2 linked regions of the Oryzias latipes genome follow. The protein of the gene in region 1 interacts with the protein of each later gene in a biochemical or structural test. Links are inferred from orthologs where the notes say so. Each region holds a gene or a part of one and is shown on either strand. Other genes may lie near its edges. The genes, in order: copa and cope.

Region 1 (12,647 bases):
GGGGGGGGGGGGGGGTATTTAGACCTGTGGTTTGCAGCACAGGGAGACTGAGAGCGGTTCAGTTCTCAGGACAAATGCTCCATATCATGCATAAAATGACCTACTGGACACTTTTTCTTGTACATATAGTAATTAAAAATAAAGATATGGTACAATGTGTCTGTGACTTGTGTTTTAGTAGTTCTGCTTCTATATCAGTTTCAAATTTCAGATTGATTACATTCATTTTTAGATATTGCACTCTTGTGCATGTGAGATTGACTGCTGTGAAGATCAACACAATGAACTCATTTCCATTTGAAACACGTGCTGCATTGCTTTTATCCTAAATTCCAACCCACTGTCTAAATATATATGATGTCCGATATTTCTAGTATTTATGTAACTAAAAGGTAAATAGATTGAAATATTAAAAATGAAGAACATTGGCATCTTTTTTTAAAAGTTACAGATGATTGATGACAAAATTGATGACAGATGACAAAGTTGTGGAGATTAAAAATCATTCTTTATTTCAACAGGTGAATAAATGAAACTTTATGTCAATGTGGCATTCCAGCAGGAAGGATGTTGGATATTGATCCCAATGGAAATGGTTATGTCTGCAGAAAACCACACTGAAGCTTTGACAAAGGGGGGAAAAAAAGATAAAAGAAGTTATTTGGAATTAATTTAATAATAGGAGTTAAAAGATATGAAAGTCACAGAGATACATTCAGGACCATAAATATTTGGACAGAGATGCATTCTTTCTCATTTTGTTTCTGTACAATACCACAGTTAATTTTAAAACAAAACTCAGATGCCATTGAAGTGCAGACTTTCAGCTTTTATAAATGGGTTGAACAAAAAGATTGCATAAAAATGTGAAAAACTAAAGCATTTTTTAAACACAATCCCTTCATTTCATGGGCTCATAATTAATTGGACAAATGAAATAGCTGAAAATAAAATGGTCATTACTAATATTTGGTTGAAAACCCTTTGTTGCACAATCCCTTCATTTCATGGGCTCGTATGTAATATTGCATGGACAGGTGTGGGCAATTCCCTTGTTATGTCATTATGAGTGAAGCAGATAAAAGGCCTGGAGTTGATTAGAGGACTTGTGCTGCATTTGGAAGATTTAGCTGTGAACAGACAACATGCGGTCAAAGAAGCTCTCCATGCAGGTGAAAGGAGCCATCATTAAGCTGACAAAACAGAAAAAAACCATGCAAGAAACTGCTACAGTATTAGGAGTGGCAAAATCAACAGTGTGGTACATCCTGAGAAAGAAAGAAAGCACTGGTGAACTCAGCAACGCAAAAAGACCTGGACGTCCACGGAAGACAACAGTGGTGGATGATGGCAGAATCATTTCAATGGTGAAGAGGAACCCGTTCACAACAGCCAACCAAGTTGTTGGGTTCAAACAACCTGCAACATCAGAGTTTACAAAAGGAAAGAAAGACAAGAGACCAAGGTACCTTTTAGGAGGAGAACGAACAGAGAATAATACCCAGTTACAATCTCTCTCCACTCTGGCACATATGCCTGTCACCTCCTCTTTTATTAAGTTTGTTGGGTTGTCCCTAAGTTACACATGCGCTGACCTCTAAGGAGGAGAAACAGATAAAAACACAGCTGCAGCGATATCAGAAAACATTTATTGTAACATGTCCATCCTTTCACAGTCTTCCCACATCATCTCTGGCCCTGCAAAGTCTTTCCTCACGGATAACTGACACAGAGCGTCCTTTTATTCCGGTCTGGAAGCAGATAACATGCTGATGTTGGGAAGATGTTAGGACAATCGGTTTCCTCCCAAGAGTTTCACCTTCACCTCCCTGTGAAACAGAACTTGGACACAGACACTTCTGCAAACATGATTATATCACCTATATAGCTAGGTAATTCATTAAAGCAAATATGAGATAACTTATATACATTATTCCAACACAAGTGAACAACACTCTCCAGGAGGTAGGCGTATCAATATCCAAGTCTACCAGAAAAAGAAGACTGCATGAAAGTAGATCCAGAGGATACACTGCAAGATGCAAGCCACTCATGAGCCTCAAGAATAGGAAGTCTATACTGGACTTTGCTAAAAAGCATCTAAAAAAGCCAACACAGTTCTGGAAAAACATTCTATGGACAGATGAAACCAAAATCAACCTCTACCAGAATGATGGCAAGAGAAAAGTCTGGAGAAGGCGTGGAGACGCTCCTGATCCAAAGCACACTACATCATCAGTAAAACACGGTGGAGGCAGTGTGATGGTCTGGGCGTGCATGGCTGCTAGTAGCACTGGGACACTAGTGTTTATTGATGACGTGACACAGGACAGAAGCAGCCCAATGAATTCTGAGGTGTTCAGAGACAGACTGTCTGCACAGATCCAGGTGAATGCAGCCAAACTGATCGGACGGCGTTTCGTAATCCAGATGGACAACGACCCAAAACATACAGCCAAAGCAACTCAGGAGTTTATTAAAGCAAAGAAGTGGAATATTCTTGAATGGCCAAGTCAGTAACCTGATCTTAACCCAATTGAGCAGCATTTCACTTGTTGAAGACTAAACTTCAGACAGAAAGGCCCACAAACAAACAGGAACTGAAAGCCGCTGCAGTAAAGGCCTGGCAGAGCATTCAGAAGGAGAAAACCCAGCATCTGCTGATGTCCATGAGTTCAAGACTTCAGGCTGTCATTGCCAACAACATCAACCAAATATTAGTAATGACCATTTTATTTTCAGCTATTTCATTTGTCCAATTACTTGCGAGCCCATGAAATGAAGGGATTGTGTTTAAAAAATGCTTTATTTTTTCACATTTTTCTGCAATATTTTTGTTCAACCCATGGAATAAAAGCTGAAAGTCTGCACTTCAATGACATCTGAGTTGTTTTATTTAAAATTCACTGTGGTAATGTACAGAAACTAAATTACTGGTAAAAAGTGTCTTTGTCCAAATATTATGGTCCTGTCTGTATGCATTGATATATGTAAATATCTGCACATATAACTGTATTGATATTCCACTCCTATGGTCTCCTCTTCGAGTGACTGATTTTCTTTTTTTGTTTTTTATCTTTTTGTAATTGGTCTCTGTGTTAGATCATACAAAATCCCAATTCTAAACAGACATGAAGATAGTCCACCTGCTGCTTTGGGCTTCCATCATTGTGAGTTTAATAGGTGTGATGGGCACCTGGACAAAAACAGCAGTGCCCTTTGTCCTAAAAATGCCTTGTACTTTCAAAACCAAACAAAACCCTTGAAAATAATTAAAAGCTCAAAACAACAAGAACATTTATTATAACGGACTGTCAATGGAATATCTGCCAATGTGGGTTCATCATAGAACTTGAATGGAATGGTTTTTTTTGCCACTTGTGTGTGGCGTTTGGAGCTTGAGTCACCAAAAAAGGAACAAAGTCCATCTGCTATTCATAAGAACTGAAAATAAATAAGTTAATGATTAAATATGTACAGTACAGACCAAAAGTGTGGACACACCTTCTCATTCAAAGAGTTTTCTTTATTTTCATGACTATGAAAATTGTAGATTCACACTGATGGCATCAAAACTGAATTAACACATGTGGAATTATATACATAAAAAGTGTGAAACAACTGAACATATGTCATATTGTGGGTTCTTCATAGTAGCCACCTTTTGATTTGATTACTGCTTTGTACACTCTTGGCGTTCTCTTGATGAGCTTCTAAAGGTAGTCACCTGAAATGGTCTTCCAACAGTCTTGAAGGAGTTCCCAGAGAATAATAATAAAAATAATTATTATTATTATTGTTATAGTTGTTGTCTTTAACAACAACAACAACAACAACAACAACAACAACAACAACAACAACAACAACAACAACAACAACGACGACGACGACGACGACGACAACAACAACAACAACAACAACAATAATAATAATAATAATAATAAGGCAAGGCAAGGCAAGGCAAGTTTATTTGTATAGCACAATTCGTACACAAAGTAATTCAAGGTGCTTCACAAAACAGAAAAGTGCATTAAAATCACAATACATCATAGAAATAATCAACATAAAATTTACTTTAAAAGAAAAGGAAGAAGAAAAAAAAAAAGATTTAAAAAGAAAGGAAGGAAAGAAAAGTGCAGATAGGACCTTTCAGTCATATACACGGCTAAACAGAAATGTTTTAAGTCTAGATTTGAACATGAACACAGAAGAGGCCTGTCTTACGCCTTCAGGGAGGCTGTTCCAGATTTTAGCTGCAGAATATTGAAACGCTGATTCCCCTTGTTTAGTTCTGACTCTGGAAATCAACAGGAGGCCGGTCCCTGAGGTCCTCAGAGTACGAGATGGTTCATATGGCACTAACATGTCAGAGATGTACTTTGGTGCTCGGCCATGGAGAGACTTGTACACAAGCAGAGCTGCTTTGAAGTCTATTCTTTGAGGTACAGGGAGCCAGTGCAGAGACCTGAGCACAGGACTAATGTGATCATACTTCCTGGTTCTGGTCAGGACTCGAGCAGCAGCATTCTGGATGTACTGAAGCTGTTTTACAGCTCGTTTGGAGAGGCCGGTGAGCAGGCCGTTACAGTAGTCTAACCTACTGGAGACAAATGCATGGATAAGTATCTCCAGGTCTCGCTTTGAGATTATGTTTTTGATTTTGGCAATGTTTTTCAGGTGGTAAAATGCCGCTGATGATAATAATAATAATAATAATAATAATAATAATAATAATAATAATAATAATAATAATAATAATAATAACTAATATTATTCGTAATAATTATTCTTGCTATTATCATACAGCTTTAGGGTAAGGAGGCTTTTACACCTAGAGCTTCTGCGTGTTGTCGCCTGGTTGTTGCTGTCGTGGAGCTTTTTGCGTCAAATTTTGACTTCAAAAACTTTATTGTCCAAAACCGGAAGACAAAACGGGCGACGTGTCAGGAAAAGAGAAGGGAATAAATGGGCGAAGGCAGTCTGGCCGCCTAAGTAACCTTTGTGCAGATTCACACTTTTTTTGTTTTTTGCTTGTTTGATTTTTGTCGCAAACATTGATCTGTGTTGGATAACAACTTACTAGTGACAATGTTAACAAAGTTTGAAACGAAGTCGGCCCGTGTTAAAGGTAAGCTAACCGCAGCTAGCTACATCATGCTAAAGTTAGTCGGTTGACGTTACTTTATCATATGCTCATACTATTAATGTCATATCTGTTCACAAATGTTTATCTAAATTTAAAAGTATACTAGTTTTAAAAATATTATAATATATGTTCTGCTGTGTTGTTTAAAAATGTAATGCTAATAGTACGTTTATGTAGCTAACGAGCTAATTGCTGCGCAATTTTGACTTGACATATCTGTGATATTATAGGAAATTTTGGCAGTGGTGTTTTTTAATGCCATTAATGGTTAAATAATTTGATCCTATTCAGGTCTGAGTTTCCATCCCAAAAGACCATGGGTTCTCGCCAGTCTGCACAACGGAGTAATCCAGCTGTGGGACTACCGGATGTGCACACTGATCGACAAATTTGACGAGCACGATGGTAGGAAAATTGTATTTTTTCGAATTATAAAGTAGCCATACTTGTTAGACCCTTTTTATTCCTAACGTGCTCTTTGCTATAGGTCCTGTTAGAGGGATTGATTTCCACAAGCAGCAACCTCTTTTTGTGTCTGGTGGAGATGATTACAAAATCAAGGCAAGTGCACCGACATGGCGTGAATAAACAGCACATTCAGCACGTGACTAAGCCTGGCAAGTTGTATATTATTTTTATAATTACATATGTTAGAAAAATTATTTTGTTTCGAACAGGTGTGGAACTACAAACTGAGGCGGTGCCTCTTCACCCTCTTGGGACACTTGGACTACATCAGAACGACTTTCTTTCACCATGTGAGTTGAACCGCCACGACAGCACAAGCTGGACTTTAACGATCATCTCTGTTCCTTGATCATCATTTATTTTTTCAGTTGCCACCACATTCAAAATATTCGGTCTACTCCTGCCTTCTCTTTACTTTTTAAATATATGCAAACAGTATTGTTCTTAGTATTTATATTAATTGGTTTTGCAAATCCAGTTTTACCTGAATGCACATAGTCGCTCTTTTCTGGAGATAAATTGCAATATCTGCGCCTGATATTGGAATTGATGGCACATTCTTTTGCTTTAAACTCAATATTGCTAAGTTTACAGAGACCAAGTGGCAGAAAAACTGCAGTGGTCATGTGTTAAGAGTGTTTTTTTTTTACCAAAGATACCACCTTGTATCTTTGGTTTTGATCTTAGATTTTGAAGGTCTTAAGCAAAATTTAGTTCATTTCTAAGGCTTCATATTTCCTTTTACTTTAAAGTAACTGATTAATGTCGGCCTCATGTGTAGGAATATCCCTGGATTCTCAGTGCGTCGGATGATCAGACCATCCGCATCTGGAACTGGCAGTCAAGAACCTGTGTGTGGTACGATATGGATGCTATATTTGAATGCACATTTTTACAATAAGAGTTAAAACTTCAAATTAATTGTCTTTCCGCCTCTCTTTTTCCGGCAGTGTGCTGACGGGCCATAACCACTATGTGATGTGTGCCCAGTTCCACCCTTCTGAAGACCTGGTGGTGTCGGCCAGTCTGGACCAGACTGTGCGAGTGTGGGATATCTCTGGTGAGGGCTTGGGGACAGTGGAGCAGATTTTAAAGTGGGCTAGGTTTGGGTGTGGGGGGTTGGGAACAGAGTGGTCTAAGGATGAGCGAGAAGATGGGAACAGGACAGATCAAGTCCCGACCCTTCTCTTTCTCTCCAACTTGTAAAGGACAGATCTCTGTGGGCTGTTTGCAGAAACACCTCTTCTTCATTCAGGACAGATGTAGACCCTCAGACAAAGAAAAGCTGCAACATTTGTGAATGTAAGGCCCCACAAGGAAAGGGGTCAAACATTTACTATGTTTGTCCCAGAATTAGAAAGAAAGAGGTGTTTCTGTGCCTTTGCATGCTCTTAAAACTCTGTATTTTTCTTCCTTTCACTTTATTTTATATATTTGCTCAAAATATGTATTTTCTGATACTTGCTTTAACTTTAATGTGAAGCTGTTTAAGATAAGGCTTTGTGACTCTCTAGTCTTGGATTTTCTGTGTATTGAGCATGATTGCATTCATTTCCACTGAACTCTACCTCTCAAAAACCCCGCTGCCCCTAGCATGTGTAGCCTTCATCTCTACATCTTTGTTCTGCATGATCAGATTTTATCAAAGTAAAACATTCATACTTTTTCTCTGAAACACAATTTTTTAATAAATTTGACCTGCTTTAGAAAAAAACAAACCTATTGGTAACTACTTACCTGGTTAAGCATGGTTGGCCATACTCACTAAGCAGCATGGACATTGTCCCCCCAGTGTTTACACTTTACAGCTAACCCCCTGACAATCACATTCCAGGATCTGTTAACAATGCACGTGACTAAACCCGCCCTCAACAGTGCATGTGTCTTCAAGACCAACTAATGTTCACGTTTACCATTCAACGCCCCATCAGAGCACATCTTTACAGAGCCACCCACCCTATCCCCATCAGCCAAGTCCACACTCCACGCGCCCTCCTTGCCCCCTGGAAACATCCACACCTGCACTTGGGTTCCTAGTTTTTCCCCGTCTGTCCTCTCAGGGCTCTTGAGCGGTCTGTTCACCACATCATCTTGTTGGGTGAAATTGCGGATACAATCAGTGTTTTCTGATGGTTGTTTTGTGGGCCTGTTTGAGTCTTGGAGGTTATCACTCTGTTGTCTAGTCAAATTATGTCGTTTTCATTAAATCAATCAACTCTCTTGCAACATTGGAGATGGTCTCCAGACTCGAAAAAACCGGTTATCAGAAAGCAGAGATGGTGCTGGTTGTTTCTACCCACTGTTGGTGTCCAGACGTTCAACAGTTCAGTTTTAAGTTGGTTTGCTATCCCTCTCCATGATTTTGCTCTCGTTGTGCTTACAGAAAAGCGTTTCCTTCCCTTTTCCCTCCCTACCTTGTGCTGTGACTGTGCCTCGTTTAACATGAATATGGCTTTCCTTCCTTGCACGCTGTGCTTTGACGGTTCCAGGTCTGAGGAAGAAAAACCTGTCCCCGGGTGCAGTGGAGACAGACGTGCGCGGCATCTCTGGGGTTGACCTTTTTGGTGCCTCAGATGCTGTTGTCAAGCACGTTCTGGAGGTGAGCCGCGGCCTACATATGCAGATTTTATTAATGCTCATGCTTTGTTTCACAGTCATTTTAGAAAGAACATCTCAATTTCTCTTTTAAAAACAAGGCAAGCTTCCCTTTGACAGGTTCTCGTTTGGATGGATGTGATGTTTGTTCATTTCAAATAGGATAACTGTTATTACTCAGGGAAAGATCTACACCTCCTCTTTTAGATTGTTTTGTTTCTTCTACAGATGATGGTAATAAAGTGTGAAAACAATATTATCAAACCATCAGAGGCCTTTCTTTAGAGCTGTGATCCTATTATATCCATTAAATATATTTAAAAGGGTATTTGTTCTTAAAGTAGTAGCAAGATTGTGATAAATGTGTTATTTTAATTTCTGTTTAAGTTTTAATAGTCTGTTTCTCAAATGAACTTTAGGGGTTATTAAGATTATTGCTCTTGATGTAATACATGATAAATGGATAAAATTCTTTACTTGTATTTAAGTTTACTTAATAAGTTTCAGAGTGTAATCTTTAAAGTCCCACTCTGATGATCTATTGATTTATTTTAAAAGTGTTCCCAGTGGGTTTTAAAAAAAGATTACTTTATGCTGTTTTTTGTAAAAATATATTGAGTTGTTTTGTGGGACATAGTTTCTGCAGAGCAGCAGGAGTTTATTAGGAGTTCACCTCAGAGTTGTGGGCAGGACCATTGGTGTGGTGAAGCCTGCCCATACGTCCTGTCATCCATCGGTTACACTCTCCCACTAGCTTACAGCCCCTCACGCTCCAACTTAACATTAGCGGTGCAACAATATAATGGCGAACAATATTGTAGCTATTTGGTCGTACAGTTTAGATCCAGATTCCAGCTCAGACGAGGAAAAGAAAGACGTTCATGGATCTATTTGGATGCACCAGACTGGGGCAGAGCGGGGAGCGTCTGGGTTGCCATTGTAGCTTCTGCGTCACACCTACAAGCTTTTTCCAACTGCCTTTTTTGTGTCTACTCCTGATTCACAGCAATTTGAATGAAGAAATACTTGGAAATGTCATGTTAAGCTTCATTTTCTTCATGATTGTCCTCCATTATCACAAAAAAAACACAAAAATGTGTTAAAAACACAATTTTCACCAAAGTGGGTCTTTAAAACAATGAAGACAACAGTACTTTAGGATGAGGACAGTTACACGTCAGCTGGTTTGTTCTTTGTTGAGGAGCAGAGGGACTCATTACATTTGTGTTAATGCAGGGGCATGACCGTGGCGTCAACTGGGCAGCCTTCCATCCCACCATGCCCCTCATTGTGTCTGGAGCTGATGACAGACAGGTGAAGATCTGGAGGATGAATGGTAGGCATCTTGACAGAATCCAAGGACACATTTATATAATATAAACCATCACTTCAAATGAGGCATCAAATCATTCAAGCTGTTGAAAGATGAAACATTTTGATCACTCTTAAATTAAGAAACAGAGATGCATTCTTCCTTAACTACCTGTAAAAGAAAAGGTATTTGTTTTTGCGTAATTCTTTTTTTTAAATAATTTTCTTTTTTTGTCTTTTGTCAGAGTCCAAGGCATGGGAGCTTGATACCTGCCGTGGCCACTACAACAATGTGTCCTGTGCAGTGTTCCACCCTCGCCAAGAGCTCATCCTTTCCAACTCTGAAGACAAGAGCATCCGGGTGTGGGACATGTCCAAGAGGACCGGAGTGCAGACTTTCCGACGGGATCATGACCGCTTCTGGGTGCTGGGAGCGCATCCAAACCTCAACCTGTTTGCAGCTGGTACCATTTTTTTTTAGTCTTGTAATAATAAAGAAGGAAAGAAAAGCACAGGGTTCTGATTGCACTCTGTCCTAGATTTGAGGTGAACCTTAAAGTGTTGTGTTTTGTGGCTTTCAGGTCATGACAGCGGGATGATTGTATTCAAGCTGGAGCGGGAACGGCCTGCATACGCCGTACACGGCAACATGCTGTACTACGTGAAGGACCGCTTCCTCCGCCAGCTGGACTTCAACAGCAGCAAAGACACTGCTGTCATGCAGCTCCGCAGGTTGTTTACCCTTTCTTTTGTAACAAAAAATGTTCTTTAATTGTGTTCTTTATGTTGATCAGCTATGTTGTGGTGCTCAAAACTAAACAGAGGTAGAAGTTTGATCATTTTTGTCTTGTTTTTCTTGCCTCAGTGGTTCAAAGTTCCCGGTTTTTAGCATGTCTTACAACCCTGCTGAGAATGCAGTTCTACTCTGCACTGTGAGTACGCCCCTAAAACCACAGTGAACATGAATGCACTCACTCAGGCTGGGCTTTCCAATGTTTTTATTGATTTATTTGTGCCTTTTCCAGAGAGCAACCAACCTGGAGAACAGCACCTATGACCTCTACTCCATTCCCAAAGAAAGTGACTCCCAGAACCCTGATGGTAAATAAAGATTAATCTTCTGTGCCGTTGAAACAAACTATTTTAGTTCTGTTTGTTTTTTTTACTACCAAGTATGACACATTGTTGTTAAATTCATCCAAGTAGCAAAGTGGTTACTTGGGTAGCATTTATCTATATTTATTTACACTTTTTTTTTTTTCTTTAGCACCAGAGGGTAAAAGGTCGTCTGGACTGACAGCCGTTTGGGTGGCAAGGAATAGATTTGCTGTTTTAGATCGTCTGCACTCCGTAAGTTGTTGGTTTGCAACATTGTGACAATGTCTTGAGGAAAAAAAATACAACCTTTCTTAGTTAGTGAATATTCTTGGTACCTAAAAATGTATTCAGTTCTTTGTGGAGCAGGTTTGCTTGTGTCACGAGTCACATTTGATCTCTGGTCTAACTTTTGCGGTCATCTTTTTGTGGACACAGATCTTTTTTTAACCTTGAAGGACCTTTAGGAAGGTGAACGCCTACGCATACGTTTGCAGATGTTTAAGTGTTGAACACGTGTTGTGCTAAATTCATAGATTTAATATTGTTTTATTGCATTACACCAAACTGAACGGCTTTTTCATTGTCATGGCTTATTAGCAAAGTTAAATGAAAGATTTTTCTTGTTTTTGTCATTGTTGTTTGAACCAAATCTTCAGGAAAGTGAGTCATTGGCTCACTAACGTGAATATAGCCTCAGTGATGAAAAAGAAACATAAGATCCTGTCTTTCTGCTATTTTAGACTAATTTGTTCATTTCTCTAAATCTGTTTCCTTTCTGCAGCTTCTGATCAAGAACCTGAAGAATGAAATCGTGAAGAAAGTCCAGGTGCCGAGCTGTGAGGAGATCTTCTATGCAGGCACAGGCTCGCTGCTGCTGCGTGACGCTGAGGGCGTCACGCTGTTTGATGTGCAGCAGAAACGCTCTCTGGCCACTGTCAAAATCGCCAAGGTCAAGTACGTGGTGTGGAGCGCCGACACCAGCCATGTGGCTCTGTTGGCAAAGCATGGTGGGTGTGGACAAGAGTGGCGTCAAAAAACTCACGACTTTTCTGTTTCATCCAATCATTTGAATTGAAACTGTGATGAACTTTGAGCTCAGTTAGACGTAAACACTGGATTAGCTGAAGGGAAACATGAAGCATAAACACTAACAGTTGTTTAAATCAGAACATCTTTTTTATTTTAATGCTGTTGTGTTCAGTGCCTTGAGTTGTACAATAGAGGGATTAAGAAAAACAGACTCGAATCATAACATTATTTTTTGACTAATTATTCTCATTCAATATATCATTCTGTTAAAAATTACATCTTAATTTGATCAAAGAAGTGGAAACGTTTTCCTTTAGATTTTTAAAAAATTTCTAGACAAAAGCCCCTCAATATCCTCAGAATCTAACAACTGAGAAATGAATCTCAATGATTCTGATCTGAAGGTGAAATAATGAATTTCTTTTTCTTTTCCCTTTCAGCTATAATGATCTGCAACCGTAAGCTGGAAAGTCTCTGCAACATTCATGAGAACATCAGGGTGAAGAGCGGCGCCTGGGATGAGACTGGGGTCTTCATCTACACCACCTCCAATCACATCAAATATGCCCTCACCTCTGGGTAAGAAACACTCAGACGGTTAGTTACTGCGTGTTGAACTCAACATTTCAGAAGTTAGTCATTGATTTATGTGACTACTGGAATATCTAACATGGCAAATATAGATGTGGTTGAGAAAATTGGAGCTACTAATCAATCAGCTGATGCTGGACAGGTTTTTTCCACTGAAGCAGCTGCATCACAGTATTTTAGATGGATTATTAATTTGGATTAAATCAAACTTGTGGGTTTCTGTGAATTTAATTCAACTACCACGTTGTTTGAAGTTGTTTTCTTTTGAGAAGCTGGTACAGGAAGACAGAAATGGTTCTCAGTAAGCAGTGCAGCTAATAGCACAGTGTCTTTCCTGTAGTGATCATGGCATCATTCGGACTCTGGACTTGCCCATCTATGTGACCCGTGTGAGGGGCAACAGCGTTTA
Region 2 (12,647 bases), on another chromosome or scaffold:
AGTGCAGGGATCATTTGAACACTTCTTCAGACTAAATTAGAATACATAGATAGGAGGCTTATACAAACAGTAAACTTCAAGTATGCTGCCTCCATGGAGTATATTTCAAATTTAAATAGACTACTTATTGTAAAAGGGAGTTAAGCCAAAACCCTGGACTACTTTTTTTGTTTTTGTTATGATTCAAAAATGAAAACTTTGATTGTCTTTAATGGGATACAAAAGAACAAGAGACACCTATGGACAAAATGTAGATCTGGAGCATCCTCTGGTGGCTTGAGATGGTAAAACATTTACCATTGTGTCTAAGAAAAAATCTAGCCACAGGGGTTGCAAGCCAGTTACTTCTGTGCCGGTCCCAAGCCCGGATAAATAGAGAGGGTTGCGTCAGGAAGGGCATCCGGCGTAAAAATTGCCAAAATAACCATGCGAATCATCCACAACACTTTAGACATACCGGATCGGTCGAGGCCCGGGTTAACAACGACCGCCACCGATGCTGTTAACCTACAGGGTGTCGGTGGAAATTTGACTACTGTTGGTGGAAGAAAGAGGGGAGGCAGAAGGGTCCGTGGCCAGAGAGAGAAGGGAAAAGGCAGGAACATAGGTTTGAGAATAGGGACTCTTAACGTTGGCACAATGACAGGGAAAGGCAGAGAGCTGGCAGACATGATGGAGAGAAGGAAGGTAGATGTACTGTGTGTGCAGGAGACAAGATGGAAGGGCAGCAAGGCACGTAGTATTGGAGGAGGATACAAACTGTTCTATCATGGTGTTGATAGGAAGAGAAACGGGGTAGGAGTGATTCTGAAGGGGGAGTTTGTAAACAGTGTTCTAGAGGTGAAAAGAGTCTCAGACAGGATGATGAGCCTAAAGTTAGAAATTGAAGGGGTGATGGTGAATGTAGTCAGTGGGTATGCGCCACAGGTTGGCTGTGAGTTAGAAGTGAAGGAGAGATTCTGGAGTGAGTTGGATGAGGTCATAGAGAGTTTCCCCAGAGGAGAGAGAGTTGTTATTGGAGCAGACTTTAATGGACATGTTGGTGAGGGCAATAGAGGTGATGAGGAGGTGATGGGCAGGTTTGGTGTGAAGGAAAGGAATCTGGAGGGACAGATGGTGGTGGACTTTGCGAAGAGGATGGAAATGGCGGTAGTCAACACTTACTTCCAGAAGAGAGAGGAACATAGAGTGACATACAGAAGTGGAGGTAGGAGTACTCAGGTGGACTACATCCTATGCAGACGAGGTCATTTGAGAGAGGTTAATGACTGCAAAGTGGTGGTAGGAGAGAGTGTAGCCAGACAGCACCGCATGGTGGTGTGTAAGATGACTCTGGAGGTCAGGAAGAAGAAGAGAGGGAAAACAGAAAAGAAGACCAAGTGGTGGAAGCTACAGAATGAAGAAACTTGTGAGGAATTTAGGCAGAAGTTGAGGCAGGTCCTGGGTGGTCAGGATGAGCTTCCAGATGACTGGGAAACTACAGCAGAAATTATCAGGGAAACAGGTAGGAAGGTGCTAGGTGTGTCATCTGGAAAGAGGAAAGACGGTAAAGACACTTGGTGGTGGAATGAGGAAGTACAGGAATTCGTCCAGAGGAAGAGGTTGGCTAAAAAGAAGTGGGATGTAGAAAGGACTGAGGAAGGTAGACAGGAGTACAAGGAAGCGCAGCATAGAGTGAAGAGAGAGGTGGCAAAGGCCAAACAGAAGGCTTATGATGAGCTATATGACAGGTTAGACACAAAGGAAGGAGAGAAGGACTTGTACAGGCTAGCCAGACAGAGAGACAGAGATGGGAAGGACGTGCAACAGATAAGGGTGATTAAGGACAGAGATGGAAAGGTGCTAACAACCCAGGAGAGTGTACAGAAAAGATGGAAGGAGTATTTTGAGGAGCTGATGAACGTGGAAAATGACAGGGAAAGAAGGGAGGAAGATGTGGTTGTTGTGGAGCAGGAAGTAGCAGAGATTGGAAAGGATGAGGTTAGGAAGGCTCTGAAAAGGATGAAGAGCGGAAAGGCCGTTGGTCCTGATGACGTACCTGTGGAGGTATGGAAGTGCTTAGGAGAGACAGCAGTGGAATTTCTAACGAGGTTGTTCAATAGGATTTTAGAGAGTGAGAAGATGCCTGAGGAATGGAGGAGAAGCGTTCTGGTTCCGATCTTTAAGAACAAGGGTGACACGCAGAACTGCAGCAACTATAGAGGAATAAAGTTGATGAGCCACACAATGAAGCTGTGGGAAAGAGTAGTGGAAGCCAGGCTTAGGAAGAAGGTGGAGATCTGTGAGCAGCAGTATGGTTTCATGCCCCGTAAGAGCACCACTGATGCCATTTTTGCTTTGAGAATGTTGATGGAAAAGTACAGAGAAGGTCAGAAGGAGCTGCATTGTGTGTTCGTAGATTTAGAGAAGGCGTATGACAGGGTGCCGAGGGAGGAGCTGTGGTACTGTATGAGGTTGTCTGGAGTGGCAGAGAAGTATGTCAGAGTAGTTCAGGACATGTATGAGAGAAGTATGACGGTGGTGAGATGTGCTGTAGGTCAGACAGAGGAGTTCAAGGTGGAGGTGGGACTACACCAAGGATCAGCTTTGAGTCCTTTTTTGTTTGCTATGCTGATGGACAGGCTGACAGACGAGGTAAGACAGGAATCTCCCTGGACAATGATGTTTGCGGATGACATTGTAATTTGCAGTGAGAGTAGAGAGCAGGTGGAGGAACAGCTAGAGAGGTGGAGGTTTGCTCTGGAAAGAAGAGGCATGAAAGTCAGTCGTAGTAAGACAGAATACATGTGTCTGAACGAGAGGGATCAAGGTAGAAGCATTAGGTTACAGGGGGCTGAGGTGAAGAAGGTGCAGGAGTTTAAGTACTTGGGGTCAACAGTTCAGTGTGATGGGGAGTGTGGAAAAGAGGTGAAGAGGCGAGTGCAGGCAGGTTGGAGCGGTTGGAGGAAAGTGTCAGGAGTGTTGTGTGACAGAAGAGTGTCAGCAAGACTCAAAGGAAAGGTGTACAAGACAGTGGTGAGACCAGCTCTGCTCTATGGGCTAGAGACGGTAGCAGTGAGACAGAGACAAGAGGCTGAGATGGAGGTAGCGGAGATGAAGATGTTGAGGTTCTCCTTAGGAGTGACCAGGTTAGACAGGATAAGTAACGAGTACATCAGAGGGACGGTTCATGTTGCCTGTGTTAGCGACAAAGTCAGAGAAGCCAGACTGAGATGGTTTGGACATGTTCAGAGGAGGGATAGTGGATATATTGGTAGAAGGATGTTGGAGATGGAGCTGCCTGGCCGGAGGGCAAGAGGACGGCCAAAGAGGAGATATATGGATGTCTTAACAGAGGACATGAAGTTGGCTAACGTTAGGGTAGAAGATGTTCATGATAGAGTGAGGTGGAAAACGATGATTCGCTGTGGCGACCCCTGATGGGAAAAGCCGAAAGAGAAAGAAGATTTATTAGCAATAGTAATGACAGGAAAATTATTGCTAATAAATATTTAATGATTTATTCACTTTTCATGACACTTATGGTAATCTAACAATCTGTATTTGAAAGAAAGACAAAATGAGTTACTATGTCAATACAAGATGCTAAGATTGATTTTCATGTAAAGTGTTTAAGGTCAAACATTAGTTTTAAGTCTGGTTTGAGACCATTTTATAATTTTATTTATTACAAATTGGACATTTATATCATTCTTTGAGTCTGGATACAGTTTAATAAGGTTTAGACTAATAGTTTTAGTCCAGATTAAACTTTAATCTGGACTCTTAGCCATATTTGCAAACCCTTTACTGATTACCATGAATGACTAATATTTCCCCAAATTAATAAATAAAAACATAACAGAAAAAAACTAAACTTTTCCTAAATGTTGACGTGTTAAACTTCACTTTTTACGTTTTTCCCACCCATAATACTGCCATTTTAATCACGCTGCTGGCTAAACTACGTTTCCCACAATGCCCCACGCAATGTACTGGAGTGACGTATATTCTCCTACGTGTCCGGAAGTCAGCGGAGAATCATGGCGTCTCAACAGAGCGATGTTGATGAACTGTTTGACGTGAAAAATGCTTATTATATCGGCAGTTTTCAGCAATGTATCAACGAGGCTCAAAAAGTGAAGGTATGACGCATATTCTAATGATTTAAACGTGTTTAATTCTAATTTATTTTCCCATAATTTGGCTTTATCCGGTACCCAATTGCTAACATTTGTTAGCGGCCATGCTAGTAAGTGTCAAAAGGACTTTATTTGTTAAACTTGCTGAACCGAATCTCACTTAGTCTGTTTATTATTTATTTGTTCGTAGCCTTCATCCCCCGAGAAGGAAGTTGAAAGAGACACATTTTTGTATAGGGCTTACATCGCTCAGGTAAGTCCTGAAGTTATAATGGAGAAGCCTACTACTGTGTCAGTGTATTTTCTATATTGCTCACTGTCACTAATATTTTCACAAAGTCTCCAATAAAGATCGTAATGTTGTTCTGCGTTGCAGAGGAAGTATGCTGTTGTCCTGGATGACATCAGAGCCAATTCCCCAGCAGAGCTTCAGGCCGTGAAGATGTTTGCAGAGTATTTATCCAGTGAAAACAAAAGGTAAAAACTCAGTATTTCACGTTTCCCTTTACATCCAAATACAGCTGGGGGGTATTCCAGAAAGCAGGTTCTGCTAGCTCCCACGGTAAGTTTGAGGCTAAGGAAGTGGATAACCTCAGCTTTTGGTTCCAGAAATGGAGGTATGTTTCAGGGTAGGTCAAGTTGCCATAGCAACTCATGCTCTGAACATAACCTGGTCTGGAGTAGGTTTAGTTGAAGGTTAGTTTGTTTTCAGAGAGGTGAAGCAGCATGGCGTGTCCATTTGAAGATGATTTAGTGGATGAAGAAGCTCAGATAATACTTTTTCCACCGTGAGAGGGTGATAAGACCACATATGGATGTTGGAAAGAGAAACTTTTTACTTTGATCTAACTTATTTGCTTCAGTTAAGATGAATCTTTTTTATTTTTTGTCAAGTCGGTTTAAAAATAACACGTAGTTTTCAGACATTTATTTTTACTTTCATTCAAATTAATTCAATTAAGTAGGTGTAACTTTGGTGCTGCTGTTAGATCGGCACTGCAAGGAATTGTGGGATACCATTCCCTTTGCCTGTCTGGATTTGGGCTTAAATGTGGGTTTTTGACCAAATGTGTTCAGTTGTTTAGCTGTTTTACTGTGTTTTGCCGAGTTATTTTGTCCTACTATGCTAAAGCCTCTGCACCATGAGTGAGAGGGAGGGAGAGGATGATGAGTGTATATAGCACCTTTACTGACAATTGATGTAATAACAATTTTGGAAAATTCCTAGATCAATTTATGTACTCTGTACTTATAGTTTCATTCATTTTATTGTTATACAAATGCTTATATCTGCCAGCGCAAACTTAAACATATGAGAGTTCAAGAATTATAATTAATTAAGATGGAAAAAATATTAATCTAATTGGAGTAATATGAGATTTAGTTAGATACATATGTAGATTTTAGTTGTATAAGCAATTATTGAGTCTTATAGACGTCGAAAATTTGGTTAAATAAATTTAATTTGATTACTTGTTACCAACAGAAGTAATTAATTGAAGTTGGCAATATTGGATAAGTTATATATATAAACTTGCCCCTATCACCCTTTCGTGGGTGGTTTCTCACTCAAGCTCGGGTCCTCTACCAGAGGCCTGGGAGCTTGAGGGTTCTGCGCAGTATCTTAGCTGTTCCTAGCACTGCGCTTTTCTGGATTGAGATGTCTGAGATCTTTCCAGGTATCTGTTGTAGCCACTCCTCCAGCTTGGGGGTTACTGCCCCGAGTGCTCCAATTACCACAGGCACCACTGTCACCTTCACTTTCCAGGCTTTCTCCAGTTCTTCTCTGAGTCCCTGGTATTTCTCCAGTTTCTCATGTTCCTTCTTCCTGATGTTCCCATCGCTTGGCACTGCCACATCCACCACAACGGCTTTCCTCTGTTCTTTATCCACCACTACAATGTCTGGTTGGTTCGCCATTACCATCCTATCAGTCTGAATCTGGAAGTCCCACAGGATTTTGGCCCTTTCATTCTCTACCACCTTCGGGGGTGTTTCCCATTTTGACCTTGGGGTTTCCAGTCCATACTTTGCACACACATTCCTGTATATTATTCCAGCCACTTGATTGTGGCGCTCCATGTATGCTTTACCTGCCAGCATCTTACACCCTGCAGTTATGTGCTGGATTGTTTCAGGCGCCTCTTTGCACAGCCTACACCTTGGGTCTTGTCTGGTGTGGTAGATCTGAGCCTCTATTGCTCTGGTGCTCAGGGCTTGTTCCTGAGCTGCAAGGATGAGTGCCTCAGTGCTGTCCTGTAGGCCAGCCCTTTCTAGCCATTGGTAGGATTTCTTGATATCAGCCACTTCCGTTATGGTCCGGTGGTACATCCCATGCAGGGGTTTGTCCTCCCATGAGGATCTGTCCTCCAGCACTGTATCCTCTGCTCTCCATTGCCTGAGACATTCACTGAGCACACTGTCATTTGGGGCCTTGAGCTTGATGTACTTATGCATCTTGGATGTTTCATCCTGGATAGTGGCTTCTACGCTCACTAGTCCTCGGCCTCCTTCCTTGCGGCTAGCATACAGTCTCAGGGTGCTGGATTTGGGATGGAACCCTCCATGCATGGTGAGGAGCTTTCGTGTCTTAACATCCGTGGTCTGTACCTCTTCCTTTGGCCATCTTATTATTCCTGCAGGGTATCTGATAACTGGCAGTGCGTAGCTGTTTATTGCCCGGGTCTTATTTTTGCCATTGAGCTGGCTTCTCAGGACTTGCCTTACCCGTTGGAGGTATTTAGCTGTTGCAGCTTTCCTTGTTGCCTGCTCCAGGTTGCCATTTGCTTGTGGAATTCCGAGGTACTTGTAACTGTCCTCAATGTCTGCTATTGTTCCTTCTGGGAGTGAGACCCCTTCTGTGTGGACTACCTTGCCTCTCTTTGTCACCATCCGACTGCATTTCTCGAGCCCGAATGACATCCCAATGTCAGTACTGTAGATCCTGGTGGTGTGGATCAGGGAGTCAATGTCACGCTCGCTCTTAGCATATAGCTTGATGTCATCCATGTAGAGGAGGTGACTGATGTTTGCCCCATTTCTGAGTCGGTATCCATAGCCAGTCTTGTTGATTATTTGGCTGAGGGGGTTCAGACCTATGCAGAACAGCAGTGGGGACAGAGCATCACCTTGGTATATCCCACATTTGATGGACACTTGTGCAAGTGGCTTATATATATATATATATATATATATATATATGCGCGTCACAAGGAAAATGGAGATAAGATCAGAAACTCGTGCGTTTACTTTGTCTGTTCTTTTTCTCCAAGCAGAAACTCTTTCTTTTGCCGATGATGCAGCCGTGTTACTTTTTTGATGGACGTATAATCTTCATACGCCGTCATTAAAATCTCAGACTCCGTCTCACTGAAGTATAGCGCTCTCTTTTTTTTCACCACGCGTTTCCATGGTGACTCTGGAAATCGGTGATCCATTGAGAATGTCTTTATGTACCTGCTGTGCACGTGCATTAACCCAGGGTTACCAAGTCGACCGTAATTACGCTAACTCATATCCGGTCTTTTGGAACCGACATACCCAGAGTAAGCAAGTTCAGGCGGATTTCAGCCAGAGTTCAGGATTAAAGTCAGGGGAGTTTAAACATGACTTCTGGAATACCCCCCCCCCCCCCCCCCCCCCTTGTTAGGTACATAACCATTCGGCCAACAACAACTTTTTTTTTCTTTTTTTTAAACTTTATTGTACAAAACGGGAGTACAGTACAAAACACAATTTTACAAAATAAACTTCAAATATGCCCGGGGAGCATACATATGATATGCATTTTACATAAAAAACATTCAAGTTTTTACAACTTTCTTACAAACATACAGCTTTCTGGTTAAGACTTTTAGAGATAGTACTGAGACACATTTCAAGTTGTTTGATTTAATCTGTGGGAAAAAAAATAGAAGTTGAAAAAAATGGAATTTATGAATATAAAATTTGCCAAATATAATAATAAGATTAATTATGAGGTTTTTTTTTACATGAGTTCAAGTTTTTACTATGAAAGCCAAAAATTATACATTTAAATTTCAGAGTGAGGTTGGGGTGAATCTGTTTTTTTGAGAAATTGTAAACACTTTTTCCAAGAAATTCCAATTTCAGTACAGTTCCAGAAAAGTACTTGTTCTTTGCAAAAAGTACAGTTAGGATCAATTGTTTTGATGTGTCTTAGCATGAATTGATCGGTGGGTAAATTTTGTTCATTATTTTAAAATAAACTTCTTTATTTATTATTTATCATAAATGTTTGGGTCCCACTTCAGCCTTTTCTCCAACTACTGTTGGGAACAAACCGTCTCCAGTAGTTTTTGGTACAGAAATGACCTCGCTTTGAGACAGGCTTTCAACAACCGTTTGGGGTCCTTCAGGTCCCGGGACTAGTGCTGACGTCACATGATGTGATTGGCTGTCCGTTTGTCCGATGACGTGTCAGATAGTGATTGATCTGGACAAATTACTATACTCCATAGAAGACGATATAATGAAGTCAGTTGTAAACAAACAGAGCTCCGACATGGAGGGAGATTATCTTCTAAACGTGCTTTTATTACTGTTATGGTTATTAATAAGTGCATTGCAGACTAATGGACTGTGGTCTGAACCCTCCTCCGGACCGAACACTATAACAAAGCACCTTCCCTGGCTGCAAACACGAGACTCCAGCGCTCAGAGTCACGGTTCTCTGGAGCAGCAGCTTCATTCTAACAGCCACAGATCTTTTCACAAAGTGGGTTGTGGCAAAATCTCTCCATAAACACTATAAAGAATAATGTCAGACATAACCTATGATGGAAAATAACTTTGGGTTACAAAAGGAAACGTGACATGAAAATATGTAGAGCCTGAGCAGATCTCCACGCTACGTAGTTTGTCCAAGTTGGCCCACCGTAGTGTGACGTCATCCTCAGTGGAAAGGACCACGAATGGTTTTTGCAGGCTGTATGGTTATGGTACCTACACCGTCATGGTTTTACAAAATTTTGTAAAAGCGTTGGAAATGTTGCCTTTTGTTGACCCCCATGTTTGGTTTTATAATCACACCATCATAATAAGCCATTGTCCTTCTTTAAAGCAATTATTAAAATCAAGGACACTGATAGAAATTGAGTTTTTGGTGTTTTAAACATGTTCTTGTAGTATTTTTCTCATGATGAAGGATGTATATAAAGGTATTAAAGAGTATAACAGCGTTTCTGAGTATTTCTTTATTGACATCATGACGGATCAGGAGCTGATGCTCCATCCTGATGCATCAGCTGGCAGATCTGAGTTCGTCTTTGTTTTCCTCGTCTGAGCCGTCGTCTGACTGTACGGCTGCATGGCGCCAATATTGCTCGCTGTTTTGGTTGCACTGCTAATGTTAGCTAGGGGCTGTAAGCCAGTGGGAGAGCGTATAGAGAAAGGGATTAGGGGATATCGGTGGAGGGTTACTTCCACGTCAACAGTCCCATCGACAACTCACTCAGAGAGGAATTTCTGACTATCACTGTGTAGAAAATGTCTTTTGGCTAAAAACTGTATAATCATATTTAAAGACCACTTGGATCAATTTTTCAATGGATACGAATATAGTTGGAGAGGGACTTAAATGGTTTAACAGCTTGTAGAGCAGTCAGCTAAAACTCTTAGTAAAGGTTTAGTGTTATTGCCTGATGTGAGTCATTTTAGACGTAGTCTCTTTTTTTGAATGGATGTTCTCAATGTCACGTCTTTGTATGCATAGAAAAAGCCCAAATAAACTGCAAGTTACTCTGAATAAACCATGACATCAATACTTTTGTTTGCTGTGCTTTTTATTAGTAGTGTTTTCTCACTCATCAGGACAATGTTTGAACAGAATGCGGTTTATGACCTTTTGGCATATTTTCGGTCTACGTTGATGCTTCTCAGCTTCAGTCATTACAGATTTTATTTGGAGTTTCTTCCTCTTTTCTTTGTTAGGGATGCTATTGTTGTGGATTTGGACAAGCAGATGGCAAAGAGTGTGGATGCTGCTAACACCACCTTCCTTCTGATGGCTGCTTCCATCTATTACCACGAGCAGAACACTGATGCTGCTCTCAGAACTCTGCACCAAGGAGAAAGTCTGGAGTGGTAACCATCCATGTTTGATGTGACACTTCACCAGTCCTGGTGACCTTACAGTTATAGTACTGACCTTATAGTTTCATTTCCCTGTATTTTATCCTGACGACTGCTAAATCAATAATTATGTATTTATGTACAACAACCTAAACCCCTCTTCCTTCTTCATTTATTTGAAATGCATTGTCATCATTGAAACCAATGTAAACCTTGTTTTTCCTGCAGCATGGCGATGAGCATTCAGGTGCTCCTGGGTCTGGATCGAGTAGACTTGGCGAGGTCTGGAGTTCTTTTCTGTTCGTAAACAGATGTAGTCCTGCTGTATAGCTCTGCTTTTAACATTGCAGATGATTGTGGCTCTGATATCTGTGACATTATTTGACAGGAAAGAGCTGAAGAAGATGCAGGAACAGGACGAGGATGCTACTTTAACCCAGCTAGCCACAGCCTGGGTCAACATTGCTGTGGTGAGGATAATGCCTGTTTAAAGGCTTTTCTCTGGGAATACCACTAAAATACAGCAGTGTTTCTGTGTAGCATTTTTGGACTTGTGTGGGCAGACATGCTTGTTTAACGTGTGCGGTTTTCATTTTAGTTCCCTGGAAACGCAAAACCAGGAGGGTAGGAATGAGCTAAAAGTTTGTCTTTTTTTTGACGGTTGTTGAACAGAACAGCCAGGAGTGGGACACAGCAGCAAGACTCACCCTATTAAAAATAGTTCTAAAAAACAATATTCATTATCAGAGGTTTGCTGAAAAACAAATGAACAAATTCACAATGAAAGATTTTTGATTCTATGATCACTGAGTTTGTCTTCAATAAACTGTAATGTGGGAGTTTTTTAATACTCTTTAGCTCAGTCAGATAAATATTTCTGGGTCCATCTCTGCACTTCTTCAAAAAGTTAAAAGTGTTAAAAGACAACTTTGTTAAAGCAAAATGTTAAAGGAATTAAAGAGTAAACTAATATGCTAATAAAACTACAAAGATAAGCAAAGTATTGAATCAGTATAATTGATTTAGGTTCACTTTGTGGAACATCTTATAAAAATAGGCCGTTTATTTCCTTTAAAGAAAAACAAGTTATTTTTCCTGCTTTGTTTACTAAGAAAAAAAGGTTGGAAGAAAGCAAAGCATGCATGGAATTTGTCTGAACCGGACGTTTTTTTGCATGTAACCATGGCGACCAACCTAAACCTGAGCTCGTAGCCGTCATTGCAGGTTTTTGGATGGATTTAGAACAGGCAGGATTTTACAGAGAAATACGCAGAAGTTGCTCCAATTCGATGCAAAAGTTTGGATGTTTGTTTTTGACACGCTGCCAAGGCTGGCTCTAGGATGACATCATGAAAGGGGCGGAGCGAAAGGCGGGGCCTCAGAAATGAGTCGTCTTACTCCGGGTTGGAAAAAAGCTCAGGAAAATAACAAATATTGAAAAAGAAAATGTGTTCTTTAGTGTGTCAAAGGTAATATATTATAGACATGGATATGGGTTACTCTAAAAGGCTTCAGAATAGTAAATGGACCCTTTAAACAAAGACTTGTATTACACGGGATGAAAGATATTTCATCTGTGCAAATTGTGGTTCTTACATTTTTTTAACAATCCTATTTTCCTTTTAGTTTCACTTGTTTTCTGTAGCTACGTGGAAACTTAAAATAGCATAAAGTGCACAAAGTGATGTAGTTTTTTGTCTCAACCCCATTCAGAAACATGCAGAGACGAAGCTGGACTTTTTATGGTTGTTTCAGGGCGGAGAGAAGCTGCAGGACGCCTACTACATTTTCCAGGAGATGTCTGACAAATACTCTGCAACGCTGCTGCTCCTGAATGGACAGGCGGCCTGTTACATGGCTCAGAACAAGTGGGAGGAGGCGGAGGGCGTCCTGCAGGAGGCCCTGGATAAGGTTGGAGGCAACCTTTGAACTGGAAAATTAAGAGTGGGTGGTGTGCAGACATAGTCGGTGCATAAGTGTTTATTTGGTGCCTTTATAGCCAGCAAGTGTTGCCCATTTATGCATTTACATTTTTAATGCCTAATGTCTGCAGTACATAGACATTCTGCAGGACCAAAGATCAATTAGTGTAAAATAAACATTTTTGGGTTTGAATAGAAGAAACACTGTTCATGTTCCTCTGAAAGCACGTTTTTTTGCTAAATATTTCCAACCCTAAATGTGTCATTTTGGTTTGTTTATTTCAGCAGCTAATGTTTTAAATAGTTTTTTGATATACACTTAACTCAAATAGTTAAATCCAACTTAATTATTTCAAGAAGAATCCTTTAGTTGAATAAAACATAAGAATAAACCCTGGTTCAAGTCCCGGCTGGGGGAGAAGGCAGAAGATGAATAATTATCAGAGACTGTGTTTCTGTTTTAGGACCAGCAGGGGGCAGCGCCTGCTGTTCTAAATTTCCTGTTTTGGTT

Evidence for each region.
Region 2: the proteins of copa (region 1) and cope form a complex in vitro, tested with the Homo sapiens proteins (3 studies listed by BioGRID, with this or other methods). The link is inferred for Oryzias latipes from reciprocal best matches to the Homo sapiens genes COPA and COPE.

Annotation. Positions count from the first base shown.
Region 1 is NC_019875.2:3,230,249-3,242,895, reverse strand, and holds the start of copa (coatomer subunit alpha), read left to right. Parts: upstream 1-4,921; 5' UTR 4,922-5,088; coding exon 5,089-5,128; intron 5,129-5,437; coding exon 5,438-5,551; intron 5,552-5,633; coding exon 5,634-5,707; intron 5,708-5,823; coding exon 5,824-5,904; intron 5,905-6,395; coding exon 6,396-6,472; intron 6,473-6,564; coding exon 6,565-6,674; intron 6,675-8,103; coding exon 8,104-8,213; intron 8,214-9,445; coding exon 9,446-9,545; intron 9,546-9,765; coding exon 9,766-9,984; intron 9,985-10,101; coding exon 10,102-10,252; intron 10,253-10,385; coding exon 10,386-10,452; intron 10,453-10,545; coding exon 10,546-10,621; intron 10,622-10,787; coding exon 10,788-10,870; intron 10,871-11,399; coding exon 11,400-11,625; intron 11,626-12,087; coding exon 12,088-12,226; intron 12,227-12,578; coding exon 12,579-12,647. UniProt on the Homo sapiens protein: The coatomer is a cytosolic protein complex that binds to dilysine motifs and reversibly associates with Golgi non-clathrin-coated vesicles, which further mediate biosynthetic protein transport from the ER, via the Golgi up to the trans Golgi network.
Region 2 is NC_019862.2:32,497,412-32,510,058, forward strand, and holds the start of cope (coatomer subunit epsilon), read left to right. Parts: upstream 1-3,982; 5' UTR 3,983-4,022; coding exon 4,023-4,124; exon of another isoform or gene 4,125-4,225; coding exon of another isoform or gene 4,226-4,231; intron 4,232-4,311; coding exon 4,312-4,374; intron 4,375-4,497; coding exon 4,498-4,598; intron 4,599-10,073; coding exon 10,074-10,226; intron 10,227-10,442; coding exon 10,443-10,496; intron 10,497-10,602; coding exon 10,603-10,684; intron 10,685-11,969; coding exon 11,970-12,125; intron 12,126-12,647. UniProt on the Homo sapiens protein: The coatomer is a cytosolic protein complex that binds to dilysine motifs and reversibly associates with Golgi non-clathrin-coated vesicles, which further mediate biosynthetic protein transport from the ER, via the Golgi up to the trans Golgi network.